2 linked regions of the Oryzias latipes genome follow. The protein of the gene in region 1 interacts with the protein of each later gene in a biochemical or structural test. Links are inferred from orthologs where the notes say so. Each region holds a gene or a part of one and is shown in the gene's direction. Other genes may lie near its edges.

Region 1 (4,482 bases):
CATTTATATTAAATGAAATGTCAAGAATTAGAACTACACTGGGTCAAAAATTCTTACAATTGGTAAAATGTTGTCTAAATAAGCAACATAATCTGCCAATAGAGTAAAGAAAATACTCTTACCAAAATATGAATGGTATTTTAAGAAAAAAATTCCAGTTACTAAAAAGTGTTTTCTGAACTAAGATTATTGTGCTTTTCAAAAACTTTCTTGATAAGATTATTTTTTAAACGTAAATAAGACATTTTTTCTTGAAACAAGGGTTTCATAAGATTCCGTTTTTGCATTGTATGTTTTTATATTGATTGCCGCATATATCTGTTGGCCACATTTGTTTGATTGCTCATGTGCGAATGTTGCAAAGAAGGGACGAGTGGCAGCTGCAAAAAGTTAGAGCTCACGCCAAGTGGTTAAAAACGCAGGATGTAGGAGAAAGATCGTGACTGCTGTCGTGACTGAGAGCAAACTATCTATCTATCTATCTATCTATCTATCTATCTATCTATCTATCTATCTATCTATCTATCTATCTATCTATCTATCTATCTATCTATCTATCTATCTATCTATCTATCTATCTATCTATCTATCTATCTATCTATCTATCTATCTATCTATCTATCTATCTATCTATCTATCTATCTATCTATCTGAATTGAATAAACAGGAGAAAATTGGTGTATAAAATCCGTTATTAGAATGTCCATGTTCAGATTAGGGCCGTCCCGCGTGTGTCCCGATAGTGTGTCGGTTGATGCTCCGCTCCTTTATCTGATGTCTCCAGGGGCCGAGCGAAGTTATTTTTTATCTCCAGGAGCCATGACTCTGCATGGAGGCCAACGTCCCCGGAGCTGCAACAACGCCTCTGACACAGAAGATGATATTTTATTTCTTTCTTCCAGTCAGGATATGATGATTAATTAAATCGGGAGACGTATATATCATTGCGCATCATGGTTTAAAATAGTTAAGCATTAATAGACGAGCGTGGATTGATGACATACGAAAGAAACAGACAAGAAAAAAAAGACTTTTTTGTATAGTTAATTGTAAAATAAGAAAAAGGGAAAAAACATATGATTTGAGTATATATTGTTCAAAAGCTGCAATATTTTGTTTATTTTATAAAAAAAAGAGCCGACTTTAGTATCTCAGCCCTACAGTATGCAGTCCACTGCCTCTTGTTACAGGCCGTTGCTCTGTGCCTGTTTGCTTTTTTAAATGCCTTGCCCTCCACAAGACTATATAGCCCACGACAGCCAAATAATAATGAATCATTTCATAAATAATGGGTTTAGGGGCTTATCGGTAATGAAGAGGCCGCTGCCGTGCGCTTATCTCACTCGGCCACATTGCGGCCTGTGTTCCGCTCCCCATGCAGAGGGAGCGCACTGGATGCGGCGAGGAATAACTCAGAAAGGCGCGCACGCCCATACACACACAATCTCTCACACACCCTGCTCACACACTGCTCCTAAACTGGTGGAAAAAAACCTCAGACATGGATGACCCACTCACAAAATGGCTCCACTTACACAGTAACATCAACAACGCGTCTGGAGCGGTAAGTCCGAGAAATATGCGCTTTGTTGGAACCGTCGTCTTTTAACGCTAAAATCCAGCTGCTGTCGGACACTTATTAGGGATATCATGGAAGAAATTTGATGACATTTCCTTCGGTTTTTTGTGCGATCGTGTGAGAATGTCCTGGATAACGGATGCGCGGCCTGCGTATGCATTCACGGGGAAAAGGAGTGCGCTTTTTTCGACGAAAAACCATCCATCTGCGGTCTTAAACGCGTTTCTGTTACATTTAATCGAATATTTCACTCGAACACCTGACGCCGGTGTGTAGTGCAGCGATGACCCTGTTAACATAAGCAACACTGGCCTTCTTATTCTAACCAAATGGACGCAGCAGTTTTCTCATTTTGCGCGTAAAAACCCAATCCACCCGGGTTCTATAGGTTCTTCTAGGGATTTCTTTGGATTAAAAACGAAAGAATAGTTTTACTTTGACAGGCACCACTCGTTACTCAGCTCACCGTGTGGTTTTGCTCTCCAAACTGTCTCTACGAGGAGGTTTTATATCTTTGTTCCCAGCAAAACACAACGAATTTCGATTTGAATTCATTAACTTTAAATGTTATTTAAACATTAAATATATAGTTACATTTACACAAGTATATAAAGCGATAGAAACTGAGGTAATCTACGTTTTATTTAAAAATGTTTTTATATGTAAACTAAAATGTCACATTTAAAATATGTCTCCATTTTGTGGTAAAAACGTTCAAAGCTTTTCCGAAACTGTTAAACGTGATGGGCCCAGCTTTTAAACTGTTCCATTTTTTATATGTTCCAAAGAACCAAACCCAGAGAAATGATTTGGATTTTAACTTTAGCAGTGCAACTCTTTAAATAAGAACTGAAAGCAGCAGCACATCGTCGATTAACAATCATGTTCATTTGATTAATTATAGACTCGTAATTAACCGCACGATATAAATGAAAGTCTGGTGGTGACGATCTCTTTCTTTCGATAGGTCTGTAAGGACACTGAATGATGCTAATATTTGACACGGACGCCTCAAATCATCTTTTGATAATGAAATAATTGTTGAGAATTAAATGAAGGACTGCAGGGCGGACTTGAACGATTAAAAATGATGGAAAAACGGCAGCAGGAGCTTTGTCCTGGAAGTCCCGATGCGGGCTCCGGTCCTGGAAAGTGGGAGGATTCCGCCATCATCTCCAGACAAAACGGATACAAGGAGGACGAAGAGCCTCAGAGAGAGGAGGAGAGAGAAGAAGAGGGAGAGGAGGAGGAAGACGATGAGGAGAGGGGAGGGAGCTTCAAAGGCGCTGAGGAGACGGATGACGTTCCTCTGCAGAACTCGAGCAACGGGACCAGCATTATCATCAACGGCGTTGCCAAGGAAACTGCCTCTCACAACGCCCTTGACCTGAAAAGGGAAGTGCCGGTGATCGAGCTCTCCAGGAGGGAGGCTATAAAAGTGCTAGAGCCGAGGACTGAAAGCCATTTGGTGCCGATCACAGAACTTCGCAGACCTCCACCGCTGCCGCTCCCTCCGCCGCAACGAGACGACGCTCGAATGGTCCAACTGAGCCCAAACGCGTTTCCTGTCCCGGCGCGGGCGATGCTCTACAACCTGGCACAGCCTCTTGCAGCCATCAACAGGTAAAGCTGCAGGCAGGAAGAGAAAAAACTAATGATTTTATGAAAGCACAAGCATCTTTACTGTCGGTGTTCAGCATGAAAAATATTGTGGCTCCATTGTGCATTGCAGAAGTATTAAATTCTGCAAAAAAAGTGGTGCACTTGAGTTTTATTTAAAGTATTAAGTCACCTTGCTCTCTAAAGCTTCAACTTGTGAACAGGTTGCAACCTTAAGAGTTGGTTACAATATAATGAATGATGAAATGTATGTTTTTTTTTTTTATAATGCTTTTGTATTTTGTTGTTGTTATAGTCTTGGAGGGGAGTCGGAGCAGTACAGCATGTACCCCAGCAACAGGGTAAAGCGCCGCCCGGCGCCTTATGAGGTTGAACTCGACGAGGGTAGGCGCATTTTAGATCTTTATAAGTATGGTAAGATGCACTTCTGCTGTGTCCTCCTTCTGCCAGTATAGTTCCTAAATTTCCCTTCCCCATCTCCATCTTCATCCATCCACTGACATGGACCTGCTGTGTTGCAGAAGATGCCTCACCCAAAAAAAAGTCAACCAAAAAAATGAACAAAATAAATCATGACTCAAATTAGCTGCTGCTAATGCCAAATGTACCTGCATGCAATTAAAGTAAGCTCTTCTCTGGAAGATTTGGGGTTTATTTCAGAAATAACGTTTCCACTGCTGCCCACTCGCAGCCATGTAGGGGAGGAGAATGGGGATGCTGCTGCTTCCATGCCAAGGTTTTACTGCAGAGTGGGCTGAGGGATTAAGATAGACTGGGTGTGTTCCAAGGGCAACAATAGCCCAGAAGACATCATTGTTGGAGGTGGGAGGATGTGACTACCTGCAGTGAATCATTTCATTATGTCTAAATAAAAGGTAGGGTGCAGAAACTACTGAGTGAGTGGACACCCCCTATCAAATGTGGTTTGGCAACATGAACGTTTTTCCCATCCCTTTTAAAAAGTTTTGCACAGACTTTTGGCAAGAAAAAGAAAAAAAAATACTTTAATGGAGGACTAACTTTGCAGTTTTTCTCAAAGTTGGGCATTTGTTTTGGATTTGCAGCTAATTCTTCATTCCTTTTTTGCACTTGTGATGCTTGACCTCTTTGGCAAACCACATTTTCTGTTCCAGCTCTGCTGGTTGTTTTGTATTCTTTTCTATGTGTTCACTCCATGTCTCAATTTTCTTTTCCCTTATTCCGCCTCTTCTAGCCGGCCAGCCGAAGATTGTGCGCCGCATCTTCACAAACAGTCGTGAACGCTGGCGCCAGCAGAATGTAAA
Region 2 (4,390 bases), on another chromosome or scaffold:
ATTGAACTGATCCATTTAAAACTTTAAGAAACCTCATGTTTTAGTCTCCGTTAGTCTGTTAAATTAGTTTAGCAGTGATGTTTTTCTGTGGACTCACATGTTTGCTTATATGTTTTTCAACAGTTCCTAGGAAAGCTAAATGTCAAATGCTTTGACATTTGTCAAATGCTCTTAGTCTTTCACAACCTCTTGTAGTGAAAGAGATCAAGTTAATAGTAGTAATAAAAAGTTAGCTTTTTCTGGGGTGTTTTTTTTTGTGTGTCTCTTTCGGGGTCACGGGGCTGCCGGAGCCTATCCCGGCCACTTGTGGGCAAAGGCAGGGGACATCTTTATATGCGCTGGCCTTTATTAAATAAATAAATATAAATAAATATAAATATAAATCCTGGACAGGTCGCCAGTCAGTTGCAGGGCCTCAATCACACACTCACACCTAGGGGCAATTTAGAGTAACCAATGAAATGTTTATGATGTGGGAGGAAGCCGGAGTCCGGAGAGAAAACCCACGCATGCATGGGAAAAACATGCAAACTCCACACAGAAAGGTCCCCCATTGGTGTTCTGTTTCAGGTCCCCCAGCCGGGACTTGAACTGGGGGCCCTTCTTGCTGCAACCAAGAGCACTAACCACTGTTCCCCCCCAAAAGGGTAGTTACAGTTCTGATAAATTTATTTTCATCTTTATGTTACCCTCACTTAATCAAAAATATAATATAGTAAAGTAACTCAGATGGTCTGGCAATTGTTTTTTCTTTAATGTCATAACCAGGGCTCTGTAGATCAGCTTCTCTGCAGCAAGATCTTGTTCTCCTGTTTTTCCAATTCTGTACAGTAATGATGCCACATTTATTTAACACAACATTAACCGAATAGGGGATAATTCCGATAAAGCAAAAAATAAAGTTCAGAAAAAATATGGTTTTGAGATAAAATATGACACATGTAAACATCTGATTCTATATAGCAAATTACACCTTTAATCCACATTTTATACTAAATTGAATGAAAATATATTATGAATTGTCACCCCCCCCCCCCCCCATTTCACACATTATATATTAAACATTTTAATAAACAGTTCAAACTGTTTGTTGGGTTTTTTCACTATTTACTTTCTATTGAACTGTTTTTCGTTTTGGATCCAGCTCTCTGTTCTGTCCTAATAACTTTCTCTACATGATGATGGAGCTGCGGGCCAGGACACTTGTCTGCTGACATCACGACGTTGGTTATCTTTGCTCCATCAGCGCCTCAGGGGGAGAGAATTTCCCCTCACGTCAGTGTCGGTCACGACTCCGCTCCACGCCTGACAGAGCAGCCGGCGCGAACTTCTGTCGCTTTAAGACCGATTTCCCCCCATTGTCAGGCAGTCGTGAACAGGAAAAAGAGCAGTCAGTCACAGAATGGGGTGGGGGGTCATCCGCACGTTTAAGGCAGCTCCAGTCTAACCCCCCCTGGCCTGTGAGCGAATCCGCGGTGTCCTGGATGGCGTGGAGGTGCCAGCGCGCGCGTCAGCCCCAGGAAATGATGACAGCGTCCTCCATCGCCGCTCTGCTGACTAGAACAATCGGCCTTTTTGGTTATTCCTCCGCGAACATCTCGACTGAAGTCATCTTCCTGAATCAGGTCGTGCAGGGGGGATCTGGGCGCCGGTAGAGGCAGGTGCAGCGGCTGCGCAGGAGCTTCCCGGGACGCCGCAGAGAGACTAGAGGCTGTGGAGTCCGAACCCCGGAGCTGAGGCGCAGCGCATCTGGAGAAGAATGGTATCCACCATAGAGAGGAAGACGCTGGAGGCCAGCGAGTATGTGCTTTCCTTTTCCAAAGAATGAAGCTCAGGGTTCCTTAAGGCTTTCAAGGACATTGTCATCACAATTTAGAAAGCAACCAAACGGCACGTTATTTTAGGAAAGCAACCTCTGCAGTTAGATTCCACAAACAGAAGGTCTGGAATATGCAAAAGGCTTAGTAAAAAAACTAATCTTCAGGAAAAAACACACTAGACAGCAGTACAATTAACTATGCAGAACGTTAGTTTTACTTAAGAAATCTTATAGCAAAAAACATAATAAAATAAAATCTTGAAACAAGAAGTTCCACAGTAGCATTCTAAAAGGGGGAAAAATGGGTTAAAAAATCTAACTATTAGAGAGAATTACTGAAAACTGATTGTTTTAAAGCCCAATAAGTATTTTTTGTCATAGTTTGAGGCAAATGGTTTGTATTTTTTTTAAACTAATTGCAGTTCATCTTAATTGCAGTGCCAAAAAAACGAGTGTAATAAATGGAAATGACTTATTTTAGAACAAAATGTGAACAAAACCAGAATACGATCTAGCACATTTACTTAGAACATAAATCTAAATGTTTGTTTTGAAATTTAATGACAATAAATGGCAGTCTACATTTAATAAACTAAAAAATAACATCCTAACTGAACCATAAAACACAACAATTTCAGTGCATTTGAGTCATATATTAAGTTTTTATTCTGTTAAGATTTGGAGCAAAATGATTTTGACTCAATTTATTAATAATTTCCTTATTTCTACATACTAGTTCCTAATGAGACATAGGAATGTTTTCCACTGTACAGATTTTAAGAAAATCTTGGAAAGGTGTAGAGCAAAAGACAAATAAAAACAATTTCCAACCAGTTAAAATATCTTGAAAGTCTAAAACCAAGGTTTACAATCAAGTATCTATAAGTATCCCATAGTTTGTAGTGTGAGAAAGGGGAGCAAACAATCTTGTAACAGTACAAAAAAACAAATTGTATTGTATACACTTTCCAAATGTATTAATTTAGTATTTTAATCTGAAATATGCTCCTTCTCCAACCTTGCAGCTCCAAGCTACAAGACAAAAACATAAATAGTAGCATAAACCTTTGCAAATCAGTTGATAAAGATAGAATTTATCGGGGCACTAATAATGACATTTTATAGAATATGTTACTTTCAAAAGAAAATTGTATCAATTGGATAAAATGTGTTTGTTTTTTTTGAGCTAAGAGGAAAATCAAATTAAATTACAATAAATGAAGACTATGATCGATCTTCAGGGAATTCATAGATGATGAAAGTTCAATCCAGTTGTTTTTAATCTTCTTTTCATTTATATCAGGGAGCCGGTGGACGAAGTCCTGCAAATGCCCCCCTCCCTGCTGACATGTGGAGGTTGTCAGCAGAACATCGGGGACAGGTTCTTCCTGAAAGCCATCGAGCAATACTGGCACGAGGACTGCCTGAGCTGCGACCTGTGCGGCTGTCGTCTCGGAGAGGTGGGCCGTCGCCTCTACTACAAGTTGGGAAGAAAACTATGTCGACGGGATTATCTGAGGTTGGTCTGATGTCAATGATTATCTGTTTATTCCCTTATTTGAACAATTTATAAGAAGTATGCAGATCTAATGGGATATTAGGGGAGCACTGTCTTTTATTCTGGTGAGTCAGTTGAATGGAGATGCTGGAATGTCTTCTTGTAACATTGTCTTCCTTATCGATCATGCTCCACTCAGGCTGTTTGGTCAGGACGGTCTGTGTGCTTCCTGTGAAAAGAGGATCCGGGCGTTTGAGATGACTATGCGTGTGCGAGACAAGGTCTACCATCTGGAGTGTTTCAAATGCGCCGCCTGCCAGAAGCACTTCTGTGTGGGTGATCGCTACCTTCTCATCAACTCGGACATTGTCTGTGAGCAGGACATCTTCGAGTGGACTAAGCTCAACAACAGCAATATGGTGTAGCAGAATCTCTGACTGCTTTTCAGGATGGGATGGAACAAACCAATATCGCGTGGGCTCTGAACAGAATCCCTTTTTGCAGCCCGTATGGGTTTTATCGACCAACACATCGGGACTACAATGAACACAATGTAGTGTTGCACCATCCTGTGGAAATAACAACACCAGCAATACGAAAATATTCCCAAATGCAAAAAACGTTTTAAGTACGAAAAATTCTTAAATATGCAAAGAATAGTTTTGAACTTTGTAGAAAAAACAAAACAAACTTTGTTTTAAGGTTGTAAGTTGTTTTTGTCAGGCCTTCATATCTACAAGTGGATTCAAAACTTTAATTAGAAACTGGGTTGTAATTTCTATATGTTTTTCTTTGAACTCATTCATGGCTAAAAGGAATTTTGTTGAATCGTTTTAAGTAAATTTAACCAAACACTGATTGTGGGATCATTTATTGGCTTTTTTGCTGCACTGCAGTTTTTTTTTTGCTTGTGCATATCATTAGTATGTAAATGTCTGAATGACTCAAAGTGAAAGTTGCCATTCAAGTTGAATCTGTGGACTGAAAACAGTTTTCAGTCCACAGATTCAGTCTGTGCTGCCCTCTAGTGGTTGGTAATGTCCATGCAGCCCAGATCTCACCCCACTATAGTT

The links.
Region 2: the proteins of T-cell acute lymphocytic leukemia protein 1 (region 1) and lmo2 form a complex in vitro, tested with the Homo sapiens proteins (2 studies listed by BioGRID). The link is inferred for Oryzias latipes from reciprocal best matches to the Homo sapiens genes TAL1 and LMO2.

The regions. Positions count from the first base shown.
Region 1 is NC_019875.2:24,187,975-24,192,456, forward strand, and holds the start of T-cell acute lymphocytic leukemia protein 1, read left to right. Parts: upstream 1-1,407; 5' UTR 1,408-1,564; intron 1,565-2,546; 5' UTR 2,547-2,666; coding exon 2,667-3,202; intron 3,203-3,494; coding exon 3,495-3,613; intron 3,614-4,412; coding exon 4,413-4,482. UniProt on the Homo sapiens protein: Implicated in the genesis of hemopoietic malignancies. It may play an important role in hemopoietic differentiation. Serves as a positive regulator of erythroid differentiation.
Region 2 is NC_019864.2:14,855,391-14,859,780, reverse strand, and holds lmo2 (rhombotin-2), read left to right. Parts: upstream 1-1,293; 5' UTR 1,294-1,759; coding exon 1,760-1,800; intron 1,801-3,122; coding exon 3,123-3,338; intron 3,339-3,516; coding exon 3,517-3,742; 3' UTR 3,743-4,175; downstream 4,176-4,390. UniProt on the Homo sapiens protein: Acts with TAL1/SCL to regulate red blood cell development. Also acts with LDB1 to maintain erythroid precursors in an immature state.